Linked DNA regions of Caenorhabditis elegans. The protein of the gene in region 1 purifies or fractionates together with the protein of each later gene. This does not show direct contact. Each region holds a gene or a part of one and is shown on either strand. Other genes may lie near its edges. The genes, in order: chts-1, cya-1 and Y71G12B.13.

Evidence for each region.
Region 2: the proteins of chts-1 (region 1) and cya-1 fractionate together in Caenorhabditis elegans (co-fractionation; one large-scale study listed by BioGRID). This does not show direct contact.
Region 3: the proteins of chts-1 (region 1) and Y71G12B.13 fractionate together in Caenorhabditis elegans (co-fractionation; one large-scale study listed by BioGRID). This does not show direct contact.

The regions. Positions count from the first base shown.
Region 1 is NC_003284.9:7,514,671-7,519,765, reverse strand, and holds the start of chts-1 (EGF-like domain-containing protein), read left to right. Parts: upstream 1-1,983; coding exon 1,984-2,017; intron 2,018-2,066; coding exon 2,067-2,303; intron 2,304-2,349; coding exon 2,350-2,418; intron 2,419-2,467; coding exon 2,468-2,546; intron 2,547-2,589; coding exon 2,590-2,702; intron 2,703-2,752; coding exon 2,753-2,938; intron 2,939-2,983; coding exon 2,984-3,160; intron 3,161-3,214; coding exon 3,215-3,379; intron 3,380-3,431; coding exon 3,432-3,563; intron 3,564-3,612; coding exon 3,613-3,735; intron 3,736-3,782; coding exon 3,783-3,911; intron 3,912-3,957; coding exon 3,958-4,328; intron 4,329-4,375; coding exon 4,376-4,526; intron 4,527-4,581; coding exon 4,582-4,833; intron 4,834-5,031; coding exon 5,032-5,095.
Region 2 is NC_003281.10:9,106,096-9,110,988, forward strand, and holds cya-1 (G2/mitotic-specific cyclin-A1), read right to left. Parts: upstream 3,178-4,893; 5' UTR 3,108-3,177; coding exon 3,084-3,107; intron 2,818-3,083; coding exon 2,503-2,817; intron 2,454-2,502; coding exon 2,334-2,453; intron 2,289-2,333; coding exon 1,852-2,288; intron 1,802-1,851; coding exon 1,619-1,801; intron 1,538-1,618; coding exon 1,159-1,537; 3' UTR 604-1,158; downstream 1-603. Other genes in the region: dos-1 (Delta and osm-11 homolog protein 1), read left to right, coding at 442-512, 558-589. UniProt on the Caenorhabditis elegans protein: Involved in the control of the cell cycle after S phase. May bind to and activate cdk-1 and/or cdk-2 to promote cell cycle progression. Necessary for embryogenesis.
Region 3 is NC_003279.8:1,700,317-1,708,230, forward strand, and holds the start of Y71G12B.13 (RING-type domain-containing protein), read left to right. Parts: upstream 1-1,788; 5' UTR 1,789-1,806; coding exon 1,807-1,833; intron 1,834-2,255; coding exon 2,256-2,372; intron 2,373-3,645; coding exon 3,646-4,170; intron 4,171-5,344; coding exon 5,345-5,439; intron 5,440-5,481; coding exon 5,482-5,689; intron 5,690-7,019; coding exon 7,020-7,574; 3' UTR 7,575-7,914. Other genes in the region: ubc-3 (UBC core domain-containing protein), read left to right, coding at 362-471; lsm-6 (U6 snRNA-associated Sm-like protein LSm6), read left to right, coding at 1,056-1,168, 1,262-1,382.

The DNA.
Region 1 (5,095 bases):
CAGTACCGTCTCGCCTACTGACAACGCTTAGCCGACACAACGCCAAACCTGGAGAGCGGAAAGAAAACAGGAGATTTGAAGGGGCCGTGCGGCAAAATGGGAGAGCACTATTCGGATGGTCGACAGTCCGACAGTTGTACCAAAAACATCATGGTGATGCGACTTTTGTTATTTTATTTCATAATAGGTCAGTTTAATTTTATTTTTGAAAATTGATTTCAGTTAAGACTGACAACAATAGAAAGTTGAAGCTTGCGTTATTTTCAGTGTTTAATCAAAATTTCAATGTTTAATCAAGTCAATATTTTCAGCCATTTTGACAAATGACGTGCATTCAATAAAAAAGACTAATGGCCTGATTGGTCAACCTTGTTTGATGAATGAAAAACGAAGATGTATTTCGGAAAATACCGAATGTATTGATGAAATTTGCATGTGTGCAAGTTTTTACAAAGCCGTTGATGGAGTCTGTGTAACTGAGAAAAGTAAGTGGTTTAGTTCAAACCGGAATCGACCAAAAAAATATGGAAAAAGCCAGGTCATTGCGTATTCGAAAATACTCGAGTTGAAAATGAGAGCTATCCAATCTCATTCATATTCTCCTTTTTTACATTCGTCTTCTTCTTTTTTCCTTTATTTCCCTTTTTTTCAGGTAAGACACTCACCCAGCAGTGTCGTATCGACAGCGATTGCCGCGGACCCGGAGAGTTTTGCTCTTCGTTCTCAATTTGTATGTGCCGCAGCTCTCATGTTGATGTCGGCACCCAATGCAAACCGGGTGAGTTAGTGAGAGCAAGTGGACAGCTCATCTTTCTTCTTTTCCTTTTCCTTTCACGGTCTGATTCAAGTAGCCAAATAAGTTAACTGTTTGGGAATAATAATCTGTTGACAAATACGTTCTAATGCAAGTGGCACAGGATGAAGAAATGTAAATTGTTGACTTTATCAATGTTCGGGTTAACTTCTAGTCACAAAACATATGAAACAAGTGTAGTTCGTCAAAATCAACAACGGTGATAATTTTTTATGAGCATATAAAAAGCAAAATAAAAATTACAAGTTATACAATTTATTGAAATCAATCTACGACTGAGAAAAGTATTCTAAATTTATAAGAATGTTTCACTGAAAGTTTTATTTGACAAAATTCAAAATTGAATACACGTGGCAAAATACTCAACAATTTATGGATTTTTGATATTTAAATAGTTTATATTTCAGTAAATACACTATTTTACAGTTTCCACTATCAGTTTATTTACAAAAAATATCATTCATAATTTTTTAATTTGCAGTGGATATCATATCGGGAATAATTCTCAATTTATCGGGAATAATTCTCAACTTCTACATTAAAAAAGTAAAGAGCAAAAGTAAAATATTTTTTGATCCTGTTTTTTTAATTAAAATATTTGATGTAGACTTCCGTATTATGGTTCTAAGCTCTGAATATTTAAATTTATTAAATGCTTATATTTTCTAAATTTCTAATGGATCTGTTTGGACAAACCGTACACGCTAACTAACATCGTCTTTTGACTCGAATTGAAAAAAAAAACTAAATTTAAAAAAAAACACTTGTAATACGACATAGCTTGTTTTTTAGTAATCTACCCTGGTCAGCATGGATGTGAAGACTCCATACAATGCAATAAGGGATTTCCTGGTGCTAACTGCGATGTTAATAGAAACTGTGTGTGCCCTGTTGGTTTTTTGGCAATTCAGCAGACCTGTGTTTCAAATCAGCAAGCAGCACATCACCCGCCAATTCGAAATGGTAAGAAGCGATAAAAAAATCATAACGTAGAAACAGCCGCTGATGAGTCATGCATGCCGGCAGGGACCATGTCTATCAATCATTATAAAAATGAAAGATAACTGCTCTCTTGTCATATGATTCTCAAGTTCTGTCTTTTGCAACCAACACTTTTCGTTTTCATTTTGAGCTTTTCAATTCACTTAAAAATTTGAACCGGCTTAACCATGCGGTTATTGTTCTTAGTGTTTATATTAGCAGGTAAAAAAACTGTTGAAAACAGTCTCAAAGTTTCATTTTAAATTTTCAGAAATAATGTTACAAAATGAGATAATGGCAGATCATCGAACAATCAACCAATCGTTCCGAGGCAACTTTTTCAGAAGGAGAAATTATGATGGGCCAAGAGCATACCAAATTGCTCCAGATCTCACTTGCTCCTATGATAATCAATGCGCAGGGTATCCCTTGGCAATTTGCCACTCAGTTTGTCAGTGCGTAAAGGGAGCATTGAATACAGGAACCACTTGTATCGCATCTTCAACAGGTAAAATATTTATTTTTTTTGTTCTACTACATATAAAAAAATTTAGCCATTCAAACGTCTGTTGCGTGTCCTGCTGGTCAAACTTACATCCGCGAGGCTGGAGTCTGCATGACAGGTATAATTAGTTGAAGATTTGTTTCTTTTTCTAGTTTTGAATATTATAGTTCAACAACCGGGCGAGCCTTGTCAATACTCACAACAATGCTCCGCACTGGAACCAGGAGCGTATTGCTTGAAAATGAGGTTTGATGAGTTTACTAATGTTTTTTTACATATTAATTTTCAGATGTGAATGTGTGTATGGAATGAAGAAAAGCAGTAACGGATGCACATTTGTCAATAATGACTGTAAGGAAAGAGGTCATATTTTTATTAGCGAAATTGGGGAATGTAGAGAAGGTAATATTCAGAAATAATTGGATAAGAATCAAGTTACACTCCTTTTCCAGTTTTCCCTCCTGGGGGCAAGGGATGTTCCCATAACCTTCAATGCTCTGGCGCATATCCTGACGCTACCTGCTTTATGCAAACCTGCACTTGTCCACCTAACTTACCAGTCGCCGCTGATGGAACATGTGGAAGATCCTGTCCAAACAATCAAGTTTACTCCGGTGTCACAGGAGAATGTCTCCCAGGTTTGAAGCCAATAGTGATGAAAATAAAGCTGTTTACTTTTTCAGAGAAGCAACCCGGGCAGGACTGTATTTACTCTTCACAGTGTCAAGCGTCGTTCGGTGGTCTTGTGTGTGACAAAAATACATGTCGGTGTCCGAATGGACTTGTCTTTGATGGACTGAAATGCTCACATGGTTGTCCTCCCCACAAAAGAGTCATTGACAAAGAAATTTGCGTTGAAGGTATGCATGAAATTTGTCAAACATTAAGAATTTCAAATCAAAATTGATTTTAAGGATGTCCATCTGGCATTGTTGAAGTTGCTGGGCGTTGCGTGAAACAAGTTTCAATTGGACAACCTTGTGTTGCTAATGCTCAATGTAATTTTGGAAGCTTCTGTCAAAGTGGAACCTGCCAATGTCCTCCTGGATTTTATGTTCAAGATGAACAGTGCCAAGCAAGTAAGTTTTATACATGATTTCTTATAATTAGTGAAATATATTTGTTTTCAAGTTGAAAGTGAACCTAATGAAAGTTGCCAAAATAACGAGAAATGTACAAAGGGGTCTGTTTGCTATAATGGAAAGTGTTCGTGTCCAAGAAATCACGAGTTGATCAATGGTCATTGCCAGCAGAATCGAGCAGGTAAGTAATGTCTAATGCCTCATCACTCTTTTTACCTTCACTAATCCAGCTGCGCATGCTTATAACACTGCCCTTGAAAACATTCGTAAAATCCGACTTCGATTCGCAAGTCAATCAAAATCACGTAACTCTTCACCTCAACTAACCGATGTAGAGAATGATAATGATACTGGTTTGTTGCTAATATTATCTTTTATCAATTTAAAATATACTTTTCAGTTCCAATCGGTAGTGCTTGCGTCAGAATCGGAGTAACATGTGATGGTGGATCAGTCTGTGTTGCTGGAATATGTGTATGTCCATTAGGTAAAACTCCGAGAAATGGAGTATGCATTGAACATGTAGCAGGTAACATTCTACTTTTCTACTTTTACTTCAATCAACGCATATTCAGCTCGTCCTGGAACTTCCTGTCAAAACGAAGAAGAATGTGTCGATCACAGTTACTGCTCCCCAGAAACCAACAAATGCGAATGTATGAAAGCATCTCAAATGGTCATTGGAGGGGAGTGCCGCGAACGTTTGAAGGCTCATCCAGGATATGGATGTACGATGGGAGAAATGTGTGTCGGAAACTCAGTCTGTGTTAATGGAAAGTGTGCTTGTGTTGATGGAAAAGTTGAAATTAATAAGATCTGCATCGATCAAGTGTCAGCGAAGCCAGGAGATACATGCGGCAAGGGAATTATTTGTGAAGGAGGTAGTTATTGCAACACTGATTCTGGTAAATGTGCTTGTCGCAGAGGAGAGAATTCTATCAATGGTGTAAGTTATGCGTTTTCTGGAGTTGAAAAAGTTAATGTCATGTTTAGATCTGCAAGGGTTTTACTTTTGTCTATCCAGGAGATCTCTGTACGGATATCACATCTAGATGCACGGGAGGTTCTTATTGTGCAAGAGGGCGATGTGAATGCCCACCCAGAATGAGCGCAATTGACAAGAAATGCGTGCATCAGCAAACAGGTAATTTTATAAAATCCTGTTGCTTCATAAAATCTTTAAAATCATTTGTATTCAGCTGCCCCAGGTGAACCATGCTCAGAAAAGGTTGCCTGTTCACCATTCTCAGTATGTGAAAATAACGTGTGCAAATGTGTAAATAACATGATGATCCGGGACAAAATGTGCGTGCAAAGAAGAAAAGTTAATATTGGAAACTCGTGCAACAACGAAGACCAATGCCTTGGAAACTCTACATGCATGGATAACAATTGCCAATGTGGAATTGGCTTTGTTGCCAGCATGGATGTTTGTGTTCTGAGGAAAACTGGTAAGCCGAACTTTTGTTGGTTTTTCAGTCATACTTTAAGATCTCATTGAAAATACTTGATAGGGTGTGAACATATAGCAAAAAATAAAAACTCGATATTTTGTCAGTTGAAAATTTTTGAATAAAACCAAAGACCATCTAGATGCTAAGTTTATCAATAAGAGACAAGAGAAAAAACAAAAATAGTTGTTGTTCTAGTAACTCCGGGATATCTATGCAACCCTGAAGATATTTGTACTGGACAATCTGTATGCATCAAAGG
Region 2 (4,893 bases), on another chromosome or scaffold:
TTTTCCGATAACAATATGTTTTCTGATTCAAAAACTTAAATATAACAATAAAAGCTCATAATTTTAAACAATTTATGAGAATACTCTGAAAATTCGATGGAAAATTCGCAAATACACAGTTTTGCGATTACAGTACCCTTTAAAGACGCGCTCCTTTTTGCATTTAACAAAAGTTGTCGTGTATCACAAAATTTCGCGTTTGGGTAATGTGCTGTGCCTTTAAAAAATACAGTAGTCTCTATTTTTCATTTAACACTTTGCATTTAAAATTTTAGTGTAAATGAAATCCTAAAAATTGGGATGCAGCAATAACTTGGGAATTACTGTATTTATTAAAGGCGCACGCTATTTTTTGCAATTTACTTTTTAAATTGTCGAGTCGAGACAAGCTACCGTATACTTATCAAAAATTTAATTAATTCGATTAAGTGTTTTTTTCAGAATCTGGTACATGTCTTGTTCTACATATATCGAGGAGCTTGATCCAGAAATGGCAGACGCTTTTGTTTCTCGTAAGTTTCAATTTTCAGATTCATTGAATGATTTTCCAATTCCAGAATACGCCAACTACGGGAACTATCACGGTTAAACTATTTGTTTTTTTTTATTTAAAAGATTTATTTGACAAAGAAGGTATCTTCTAACATTTGGAAAGCACAATAAATAATATAAAATTTCAGTTGATATCATGATTATAAAAATTTTTAGATTTACATTTTGAAAAAGAGAAACGAAAGAACGATGGGGAGAGCAACTACGAGATGAGATCGTGGAACAAATATAAAACAATGAGCGCAGTGCGTAAATTACGGCTCGGAACAAAAAGGAATCATAGATCATAGTTGCCAAGCCAGGAGTATCATAAATAAATAAGAAAACTGGAGAAAAAGCTGTAAAACAGCCAGATAAGGGGGTGGATGGAGAGCACTGATAATACTATTACATATAACACAAAAAAGGAATTTTTAATATCGGATCATATCCGTGTATGTTCCGATTCCTGTCGGGATGAGTTATACAAATACAAAGAATTGTTACATAAAATCGTAGTTTTAAAAGGAGAATTTTAGAAGATGTAATCGATAAAGGCAAACAAAGACAGGGAATGAAATTGAAAGTCGGGAAATTTGGAGAATTCAAGAATATAACATGGATTATTTACTGGGGACTACTACTATCGTTGGAAGATTTTGGAGCGGTGACAAAGATCGATGGGAACATCGATCGAAGCTTGTCAGTAGGTGCCGGTAACAGGGCCACTTCCATTTGTGCAGTCTCCGAGTAATTGTAGAATATTGACTTGAAATCTGCCGTTGATGCATTCAGGTACATCCTGTGAAGATCCCTCAGCACGTCCACAAAATCTTCCGTACTGATTCCCGTGTCGTCAACCATTTTTTGTGGCCAGGATTCAACGTCAGCCTGGAGATTTGCAAAGCAGCAAGCCGCAGCTGCAATATCGGATGGGCGGTAACGTAGAAAATGGACATCTATCAGCGACAACTCGAGGAGATAATGAACAGTATTCCGCATCTTTCTGTAATAAAATAACGTTTAAAATTGAGAAAGATCGCTAATTTTTTTCACAGGAGCTAAAAATGATGATATTAAAACTCACTTTGTAAAGTTCATTCTCTTGGCAAAACATGTTCCGAACCAAGATGATGTGGGCATTGCAACAACGAAGTCAAACTTTCCGAGCAAGAATCGCTCCATTAAAAGAATGTCGGGAACTCGGTAGGTGTTGTCAGTGATGAGAGCAAAGTCTTCAATCTCTGGCGGAAAGATTTCCTCGTATTTCCTGAAATTTGAGATTCACATTCAATTGAAATATTTTATTTAAAAACATACACTGCGATCATCATCGACGTCGTTCCAACCAATTGAAATCGCATTTTATCAATGTTGAACATTGAAAGAGCCCGATCAACGAGGCTCACAGCGAGATGAAATGTTTCCTTTTGGAAATTGTACTCTTTCACGACATCGCTGAACCAATCGATGAGAATTGTTCGCATCTCTTCATTAACTTGTGATTGTATGTCAAAGCATTCGTGTGAAGCTCGATTCTTCGTTTGACGGTGTAACATGTACTTGATAATGTCAGGGAAAAATTCTTCAGAACTGAACATTGAATCATCACGAGCTTCCTTCGCTGCTTTCTTTTGAATCTTCTTCACAGCTTCTTCTTTTCCAAATTCCTTTTTGCGCTGATTTTCATCAAAATGGAATGATGAGAAGGTTGCACGGACGCTTGTGGTGAAGGTTGAAGAGGCGACGGAGACTTTCTGAAAGAAAAGTTCAATTTTCTGATATTATTTTCTTGGTCTCACATCACAATCGTCGTCATCACATAAAACAGAGAATTCTGAAGGTGGTTCTGAGAATCTTGAGGTGATATCACTATTGTCTCGAGTCTGCATGAACTTGAACTTCAGTTTTTCTGCACGACTCTGCAAAAAATTGTATATAAACAATTACAATTTTGAGTTCAAATCTAACCTTTTCTTCCATCTTTCGTTCCAATTCGTGTATCATATTGTTATCCTCAGCAGGTATTACGTTAGAATCTTTCTCCGTTGCATCAACATTTTCAGAAGAATTCTCTTTCTCTGGCTCCTGATCCTCAAATACTTTAAAACTGTCTTTTGCATCTATTTTGATAATTGGTGATTCATCTATTTTCTTGCTTGGTAGAGCTTGTTGAAGCAAATTACTGGTTCCAATTTGACGTGTCAATTTTCCTCCCAATGGTGCATTTTTGATCACGTTCTTGTTGTTCACTGCTTGACTTTTCGCCGCGTTTCCGTTGCTCGGCTGAAATATAGGTTTAATTATTAATTATATATAAAAAACATAATTTTAAAGGAATCGAATTCATTTTGACTGTTAAAAAACCAGCGTCTCACGCACTCACCACTTACCAATTTTTATCAGAAATCGGAAAAAATTGTTTCCACCAGCTCGGTAAAGTTGAGCTCGAAAAATGCGGAAAATTTGAAAAAAGATCGCGAATAAATAAATGTAACTAATTTGACAGTCGCATTGTAAATATATTTTTTACAATTTCAGAAAATACTTACCTTCAAACTAAGTGCCGACCGCATACTCGTCGCGATCTGCTGCTCTCAAAAGCGCTTGATAATTGGTCCCTAGGCGCGTGCGCTGTGTCGGAATCTGTAAAAAAGAGATTTAATTTCAAAATCAAGGAAACAGGCGAAGGAATAAACACGTGACAGCGAAGAATGAGGCAAGGGAAAAGGTAAATAACAAAATAGAATAAATCTAATGATTTTTTTTTTAATTCCTTAACTGAAATTAAGTTTCAAATAATGAAAAATGGTATGACTGGAGAAAGAAAACCAATTAGAGAAAGAGAGACTAATCGATATGTTGCGGAAAGGTGCTCAATGCGTACGGTTATGCAAGGGACCATTCAAGGCAGGACAGACGGTGAAGAGAGATAGAGAGAGGAGGGGTCACTGTTGCTAGCAGTTTCCCATCTAATGCTTCAGATGGCATGCTCTTTGTTCCAGATGGGACAACATTTAGATTGGTAAATTGTCTTGAATAACGTGTAACGGCATACATATAAGGATTAGATCGAGCAGGCAATATGTAATATCTGTTCGGCGATCTTCATTTTGGAGAAAGACCACCTGTTGCTCTCTCTTATTACTGGCTCCGAGCAATGTGAATGACAGAGAGAAATAATGCAAAATTTGCTTCAATGTTTGTTGGATCAATATCAAAAGTTATATGAACTAGTAGGTAAAGTGTGGTGTTGGTGTGTGGAAAGCAATGGTGACCTCCCTCGATGGGGGGGGAAACGTTCAACGCAATCCATTACGCAACCCGGCCTTTGGTAATATGACGAGATGTATATAGGCTCTTAAGCGGTCCTACTGAACTGATCGATAGAAAAATGGAAGAAACGTATGGAGCCAAACATGGCTTGTTGGTGCTCTGCTCTTATTGTTTTTTATGACACATCGGCACACATTAGACTTTAGAATCCGCGTGGGACCTGCAAACAAGGTAAACATTGAAACTCATCTAGCAGTAATATGTCTCTCACTAGGGTTTTAATGTTCTATAACCTTGAGAAAGTTTTGTGAATTCGCGAGCTTAATTTTTTAAAAATATTCCAAAAATACGGAACTTCAAAAGAATGTCATAGAGTCAGGAATCTCGACGTTCACAACATCAAAAAGGGTGGAAAGTTGGAGAAAATAACGGTTGAGATATTAACCTGAGATTAGACATCGAAATCGCCTTGCTTCGTCACGCTTACCCTGTAGAAATTGGCATTGACGATTTTGCCAAGGTTGCGCGCCACTTGACTAATTAGTGGTATTCTAGGCGCCATCGATAGTTTCCCAGAGAGTTTGCACCATTTGTAAACATTTACGCGCCGGCGGGAAGAAGAAGGAAAAAATAAAATGAAGAGATTGTTATCAGTGTGGAGCGGGTCGAGCAAGACGATGATAAAAATTACTATAAATTTGGAGAATGTGGCACAATTGCTTTAGATTCTAAGCCTCTGGACGCTAACGGAATCGCACACCTGGAATCACTCCGGCCAGCGGAGCGCACTTGCACACCCCCGCTTTTCTCACTGGTTTTACTCCAGCTTGTATTCTTTAAGGGTGCCTTCATAAGGAACGTTCGATTTTCATCGAATTTACAAAAAAAAACTTCACAAAGAAAGAAACAAAAAAATTAATAAAAATTTTGGAACTTTTTTTTTCAATTTTGGGACCTGACGTCTAAGCCTTTTATCAGAGCTTTTTGAGGGGCTAAAAGTTGTCAAAAAATAAGTTTTATCCGGAAAAAAAAAAAGAAAAGTGAAACTTTAACAAAAAAAAAAAAGAAACACCCTACATAGAATCG
Region 3 (7,914 bases), on another chromosome or scaffold:
ACGGATTTCTGGCTTCCCTTATAAATTGAAATGGAAGAGTTTTTGCCGAACTAGTCCAGGCCACCATATCTGGGGTAGATTTACGGCGCGTTGCGTGTCGCGCCGCGGCTCGATTTTAGTTGTAAAACTAAATGTATTTGTCCGTGTGGAGTACACGACTTTCCCACACGTTTTCCGGCGGGCGATTGTCAATGGAGCGCGAAAAATTCAATGAGGAAGGTCAGAACCCCGTGACCTCAAAAACCTCAAAAAAAAGTCTATTTTTCGCAAATTTAGTTGTAAAATTCCCGAGAAAATTGGATTTTTCAGTTAAAAACCCGGATTTTTGCCAAATTTTCAATTAAATATCGATTTTTTTCAGACGACGATTTCGGGTGTGACTATGACGACGATGAAGAGGAGGAGGACGAGGACGAATGCGGCTCGGACTATAATGATGATGACGAGGATTCGGGACAAGGAGAAAATTAGTCAATTTTTTTTAATTTTCTATAATTTTTTCCCCATTTTTTTTCTCAATTTTCTCAATTTTCCAACCTAGAAAAATTCAAATTCATATCAAATATACCACGAAATCTTGGCGCTTCTTTCAAACAAAAAATCTTCAAAATCCGACTCAACTAGTCCTTTTCTCAATGCATTTATATGTACACTTTTGCCCTTCCCAAGCAGCTATCAATTCATATTTGTGTTATACTCAATATTTTTTCGTCTGGAAACAGTTTTTTTTGTCCAATTACACACACACACAGGCTGATCACAGTGCACTTTCAACTATTTTTGTTTTCTATAAATGAAGCCTTCTTTTTTCTAAATTGTCTCGGAAAATTGCAGATTTAGAGTTGAATTCTCAAAAAATAAGTCGATTTAATCCGAAAAAAACATTTTTTTCGCAAGTCTGCATTTTTGCGTCACGGTGTTTGCGGACACTGTAGAAAATAATTTTTTTTGAAGCAAAATCGCAATTTTAACGCATTTTTCTCTTGATTTTAACATATTTTTACTCTAAAAACCCGTGAAAGTAATATTTTTTCTCAATTTCAGCACTCTAGAAAATGAGCAAACGACAGAATCCCGCCGAATTCCTGAAGAAAGTCATCGGAAAGCCGGTTGTGGTGAAGCTCAACTCTGGCGTCGACTACCGTGGCATTCTCGCATGTCTCGACGGGTTAGTGATTGGGAAAAATCAAAAAATCTGATTAAAAACACCTGAAAATTAATTTTTCTTCCAGAAAAATTACGAAAAAATCTAATTTTTCAGATATATGAACATCGCGCTCGAACAAACCGAAGAATACAGCAACGGACAACTTCAGAACAAGTACGGCGATGCGTTCATCCGCGGGAACAATGTGCTCTACATCTCCACATCGACGAAATAACTTTTTTTTGATTTCGATTTATTTTCCAAATATTTTTCCCTTTTTTGAGCTATTTTGAGCAAATTTCTTGTTTGATACGTTTGGATCTCGAATAAATTTGTGTTTTTTTTTTCGCCGAAAATCTGAGTTATTTCGCTCGAAAACAGGCTTTTTCAGCAAAAATCGAGAAATTTCTTGGGTTTCCTCACCGTTAGACGCGTCGCGGTCATGCGTCACGTGCGGTGGGTCTCACCACGATTCGATTTACGGGGAAGCATTTTCGAAAAAAAGAAGACATTTTTAAGTCAATTTATCGCGTTTTCATCGATTTTTCGAGCTTTTCCGGTGATTTTTTCGATTTTTCAACTCAAATTTCGAATTCTACGTATTTTTGTGCCACTTTCACTGCAACAATCGCAATTTTCAGACAATTTTCAAAAGGATAATGCCACCCGGACCACTTCCCGCCTTAGTAAGTTGATTTTTTTTTTGATTTAAAAACTGATTAACTTTTGCTCTCCGAGTGGTAAGTGATAATTTGTAATGATATGCGATCACACTAAGGCTAAACCGCCTTGCGATGATCTTTCCACCCGCACTGGAAAAGGAGAATTAGGCGGTTTTCTGCCGCCCGATATGTGATCGCACATTTCAAATGATACCATTCAAAAACTATACCTAATTTCATAGTGAAAAGACCAAAAGAAGATAAAGAAGAGCAAGAGAGAGAGAGACGTCGCACGAAATCCATCAGTCTTCTGTCCCCCCATCGATTTTCCGAAAATTGAAAAAAAAACAGTTAGTTTCAAAGTTTGAGCGTTTGTGTGCTCATTTTGTGCTCGTTTCTAGCCTTAAAATTTCGAATTTTCCATCAAAAAACTCATTTAATTTCAGATGAAAAGCGAATGGCTCAAGTGTCCGCGATGTAAGACGAAACAGCTCAAGCCAGAGCTCATCAGCACCGAACCCAATGGATCCGATAATATTTGGTGGATATGTGAGGCTGTTCAGGTAGAAATTCATGAAAAACTGAATTTATATTGGGAAACCAGGCAAAAATCGAGCTAAAAATCGAATTTCAGGTTGTTTTGGCTCGTATGAACGGAGAAAATCAGCTTTTCATAGCAATTTAACTGAAAATTATTGTTTTTTATATCAATTTTCGGTGAATTTCCGATGTTTTCGACGATTTCTCCCCTCAATCACTGGATTTTCACAAAATTAACTAAAAAATTCCGGTTTTATTGAATTTCAAGTTCAAAACTTGAAAATTCTGTGGGGAAATTGCTTTAAAACATGCCTATGGTACCACAATGACCAAATATCATAGTAAATTTTTTTTTTAATTTAGAACATTAAAAAAAATTTTACTATGATATTTGGTCATTGTGGTACCATAGGTATGTTTTAAAGCAATGTCTCCTCAGAATTTTCAAATTTTGAACTTGAAATTCAACAAAACGGACAATTTTTAGTTAATTTTGTGAAAATCGAGTAATTTTGAGGCGGAAAAATCGTCGAAATCATCGGAAGTTCACCGGAAATTGATTTTAAAAAACATTAATTTTCAGTAATATTTCATAATCACGCTCTCCTCAAAGCCGGAGAATTATTAGAGCGCGCTTGCTGCGCTTCGCATTTCTGCATCCGCGGTAATTTGACTTTCCACTGAAAAAAGCAGATATTTCAGATTTATCGAATTTTTAGCTTTTAAAATTTTTTAAATGCATCTTTCGAACAAACCTTTTGTTAAACAGTGAAAATCGAAAAATGACTAAAATGAAATTTTTCGTCCACTGGTTGTGAAATGGTTTGAATTTGAAGAAATCAATGGGATTTTTCTTATTTTCTAAATATTTTTCTATTAAAAATCGGTTTTAACCCATTTTTTTGACCCTAAAAGTCACAAATGTTTTAAAACCGATTTTAATAGAAAAATATTTAGAAAATAAGAAAAATCCCGTTAATTTTTTCAAATTCAAACCATTTCACAGCCAGTGGACGAAAAAAGTTCATTTTAGTCATTTTAAATTCGATTTTCACTGTTTAACAAAAGGTTTGTTCGAAAACTGGAGAAAAATTTTTTTTAAAGCTAGAAAATTCGATAAATCTGAAATATCTGCTTTTTCAGTGGAAAGTCAAAATACCGCGGATTCAGAAATGCGAAGCGCAGCAAGCGCGCTCTAATAATTATTCGGCTTTGAGGAGAGCGTGCATAATTACGACTTTTTTAAAAACTAAAACTGCCGATTTTAATCATTTTTTATTTATTTTTTATTTGCAGAAATGTCAATTCCCAATGGATATGCCTCCACACGTCTATCATGTCGTCCAAACTGCCTTCCAAAAGCGTCAAAAATGCATTCCCCTGCCACGCATTGAGAAGCTTCCCGAGAAATATCAATATCTGTATCCCCTGACGTTCGCCAACTCTCGACCGGTCTCCCGTTGCTCATCAGTGGCTGGAAATTCTGAAAATTCTGAAAATCGAGCCGCCAGAAACTCGTTGGACGGGACGACGACGACGACGACTACGATTTCTGAGAAATCCAGTGGTCAGAATAGGCTAAAAGCTGAAAGTCTTCATTCCGAAACTGTTAATAATACAAATACCCCTTCAACGTCTTGCTCGGCAGAAGCTGAGCTTGAAAATCAGAGTATTGATGATGTGGAAATTGAAGAAGAAGAGGCCGTCAGGCCGTGTAGGACTATTAAGCGACGGCTTAATGATTCTGGAAAATCGTGGGCTTCGTTGATAGAAAAAGTTGCGGCCGACTCGAAAGCGTCGAATACTATTATAAATATGGAGGTGAAAATTTGGAACTTTTGAGCTGAAAAAAATTTGAGTTTTCCCGAATTTTTAAGCGGAAATTTGAATTTTCCTGGATTTTTAAACGGAAATTTGATTATTTCCGAATTTTTTAGCGAAAATTTGAATTTTCCCGACTTTTTAGTTGAAATTTAAACTTTCCCAAAGTTTTAAACGGAAATTTGAATTTTCCCGAACTTTTTAACGAAAATTTGAATTTTCCCGAATTTTTAAATCTAAATTTGATTTTTCTCGAATTTTTAAAAGGAAATCTGAATTTTCCCGAATTTTTAAGCGAAAAATTGAATTTTTCCGATTTTTAAGCGAAAATTTAAATTTTCCGAAATTTTTAATCGATAATTTGAATTTTCCCGAATTTTTTAGTGAAAACTTGAATTTTCCTGGATTTTTCATCGATAATTTGAATTTTCTCGAAGTTTTCAACGGAAATCTGAATTTTCCCGAACTTTTTAACGAAAATTTGAATTTACCCGAGTTTTTAAGCGAAAAGTTGAGTTTTTTTCGAATTTTTAAGCGGAAATTTGAATTTTCTCGAAGTTTTCAACGGAAATTTGAATTTTCTCGAAATGTTTACCAAAAGACTGAATTTTCCCGAATTTTTTAGTGAAAATTTGAATTTTCCTGGATTTTTAGTTGAAAATTCGAATTTTCTCGAAGTTTTCAACGGAAATCTGCGTTTTCCCGATTTTTTAGCAAAAATTTGACTTTTCCCGAACTTTTTAAAGAAAATTTGAATTTTCCCGAATTTTTTAGTGAAAATTTGAGTTTTTCCGAGTTTTTTTAGCAAAAATTTGAAATTTCCCGAATTTTTTAGTGAAAATTTCAGTTTTGCCGAATTTTGGAATGAAAATTTGAATTTCTTCAAAGTTTCCCGTATTTTTGAGCGAAAATTTGAATTTTCCCGATTTTTTTACTGGAAATTTGAATTTTCCCGAATTTTTAGTGAAAATTACACTTTTCCTGGATTTTTAATCGATAATTCGAATTTTCTCGAATTTTTAAACGGAAATTTCGATAATCAAAAAATTGGAAGAAAAAAAAATCGCGATTTTCTGGGTTTTCTGGGTGAAATCCTTCGAATTTTTGCTCAATACTGCGAAAAAAACGCAAAAATTTTCATTAACATCTCCCAAAAATCGATTTTTTTTTTCAGGAATCCGAATTATTCCGTCGTATGCAGGAGTTTTTCGATGCTCACTACTTCCAGCGTACTCCGATGACCTATAAGCGTTCAAGAGCGGCTTTACGGTTGGAAATGCTCAACAAATGGCAAAAAATCGATAATTTTAGACTTCCCTATCGGATAGAAGACATTGAAAATTGTCTACAATCAATAACTCGTGAAGATTGGAAAACTGCCCGACGTCGAATGATTAATTTCACTGTAGAAGAGAAAATGGTGGCGAGAAGTGGAAATGCGGATGAGTTGCTGAAAAGTGTTGGAATTGATTTGCAACAAATTAAGAAAGCTGTCGGAGAGAAAGTTGGCAATGTTATGGTACGGATTGAAGAAGAGGAAAAATGACGAAAATCATGGAAATTTTTGAAAAATTTGGCCGAAAAAACGAAGAAAAACCTAGAAATTTGATTATCCTGCGAAGATTTTGCAAAATTTTAAAAAATTTGGCATAAAAAAACAAAAAAATTCGATAAAAACCCAAAAATTTGATTTTCCTGCGACGATTTTGCAAAACTTTACACAAATTAGCCAAAATTCAAAAATTCGCAGAATCTACATGAAAAAATAATTTTTTTTCTCGAAAAAATTGCTTTAAAACGCGCCTATGGGGTCATAATGACCGAATAGCATGGTAAAACAAATGCAAAAAAATTTTCTAAATTTTTTATGATATTTGAAAATTGAAAAAATCACAGTTTTCCCCCTAATTCCGATTCGAATTTCCGCTAATTGAATTTGTTCGATGGAGTGTGCTTGCATTATTTTCATTAATTTTTTAAAAATTTATTTTCATTATTTCACTGATTTTCTTCATTTTTTGGGCGTTTTTAATCGGAAAATGAAAGAAACATACGGGAAAAATGCAAAATGTTTATTAAAAAGTAACTGAAAATGCCTAAAACTCTGAAATTATACGATCCGACGATGACGAGCCTGAAATAAGTATTATTCACAGTTTTAGGCATTTTCAGTTACTTTTTAATAAACATTTTGCATTTTTCCTGTATGTTTCTTTCATTTTCCGATTAAAAACACCCAAAAAATGAAGAAAATCAGTGAAATAATGAAAATAAATTTTAAAAAATTAATGAAAACAATGCAAGCGCGCTCCAACGAACGAGTTCAATTGGCGGAAATTCAAATAGGAATTAGGGGGAAAACTGAGATTTTTTCAATTTTCAAAAATCATATAAAATTTAGAAAAAAAAATTTTTTTTGAATTTTTTTATTATGATATATTCGGTTATTGTGGTATCATAAGCATGCTTTAAAGCAATTTCAAAAAAATCAAATTTTAAATTTAATTTCCGAAATTTATGGGTTTCTGTTTTCAGACATTTTTCTCGAAATTCGCTGAAAAATACAAAAAATGCCGATTTTTCCTAAAATTACGCAGTTTTCGATTTTTTTTACAAAATTGCCAATTTTCCTACAAAATATTTGAATTTTTCCGATCTTTTAGTCAAAAAAAGTCGAATTTTCCAATTTTTTTTTCCACAAAAATTTGATTTTTTCCGATTTTTTACACAGAACAACTTGAATTTTTCTTTTTTATTTTCATTTCGGTCCAAATTTTGCTGCGCGTAAATAATATTTTTTTGATTAATAAAATAAATAAAAAAAAGACGCTAATTTCCTCATTTTTCAGCGCAACTTCAGCCTGGCAAGCCTGGCGAAGCGTCGAAAAATCGAAGAGGATCGTAAAATCTCGGAGAAACTGAAAGCGGAAACCCGTAAGCAGACGATTCATCAATCGGTTTCTGCGAGAATTCTGAACAAGAAGCTTCGACGTGACGAGGAAACGGCAAGATCCTTGACGAGTACACCATCTCCGGCTCCAGCTCCAGCTTCTCAATTCCAGCAGGAGCCGGAGCCTGTGCAATTCCATGTGGGAAATTATGACGAAGAGCCGGAGTACCAGGAGCACCAGGAGCCAGATGCTCATTGGGGCTTTGAATTTGACGATCTCTACGAGAGAATTGATGCTCAGAATCATCAGGCGGCACCACTGGATCCGGCTGATCCACTGGAGGCGATGCTTCTCGGATTGGAAGAAGCTCCGATTATGGAGCAACACCTCGATTTTGAGCCCCAAGAGCATTCGGGTGATGAAGCGGAGCCTGAGAATGATGATGATGATGTTTTTACGGGTTTTAATGTTCAGGAGAACTCGGAATTTGTTAATGATAATTTTGATTTTTAATTCTTCTCGTTTTTTCCCCCGCTTTTTTACTTGAAAATTGGAATTTTTAGATGGAAATTGGCAAAATAGCGGATTTTTAGCAAAATTTTCCCCTGAAAAAAATAAATTCCCTGAAAAATTTAAAAAAAAAACCGATTTGCCGGAAATTTTCAATTCCGGCAAATTACCGATTTGCCGGAAATTTTCCATTCCGGCAAATCGGCAATTTTTCTGTTTGCGGGAATTTTTCAATTCCGGCAATGTTCCGGTTTGCCGGAATTTTTCAATTCCGGCAATGTGCCGGTTTGCCAAATTGCCGGAAATTTTCCATTCCGGCAAAGTGCCAATTTGCCGGAAAAAA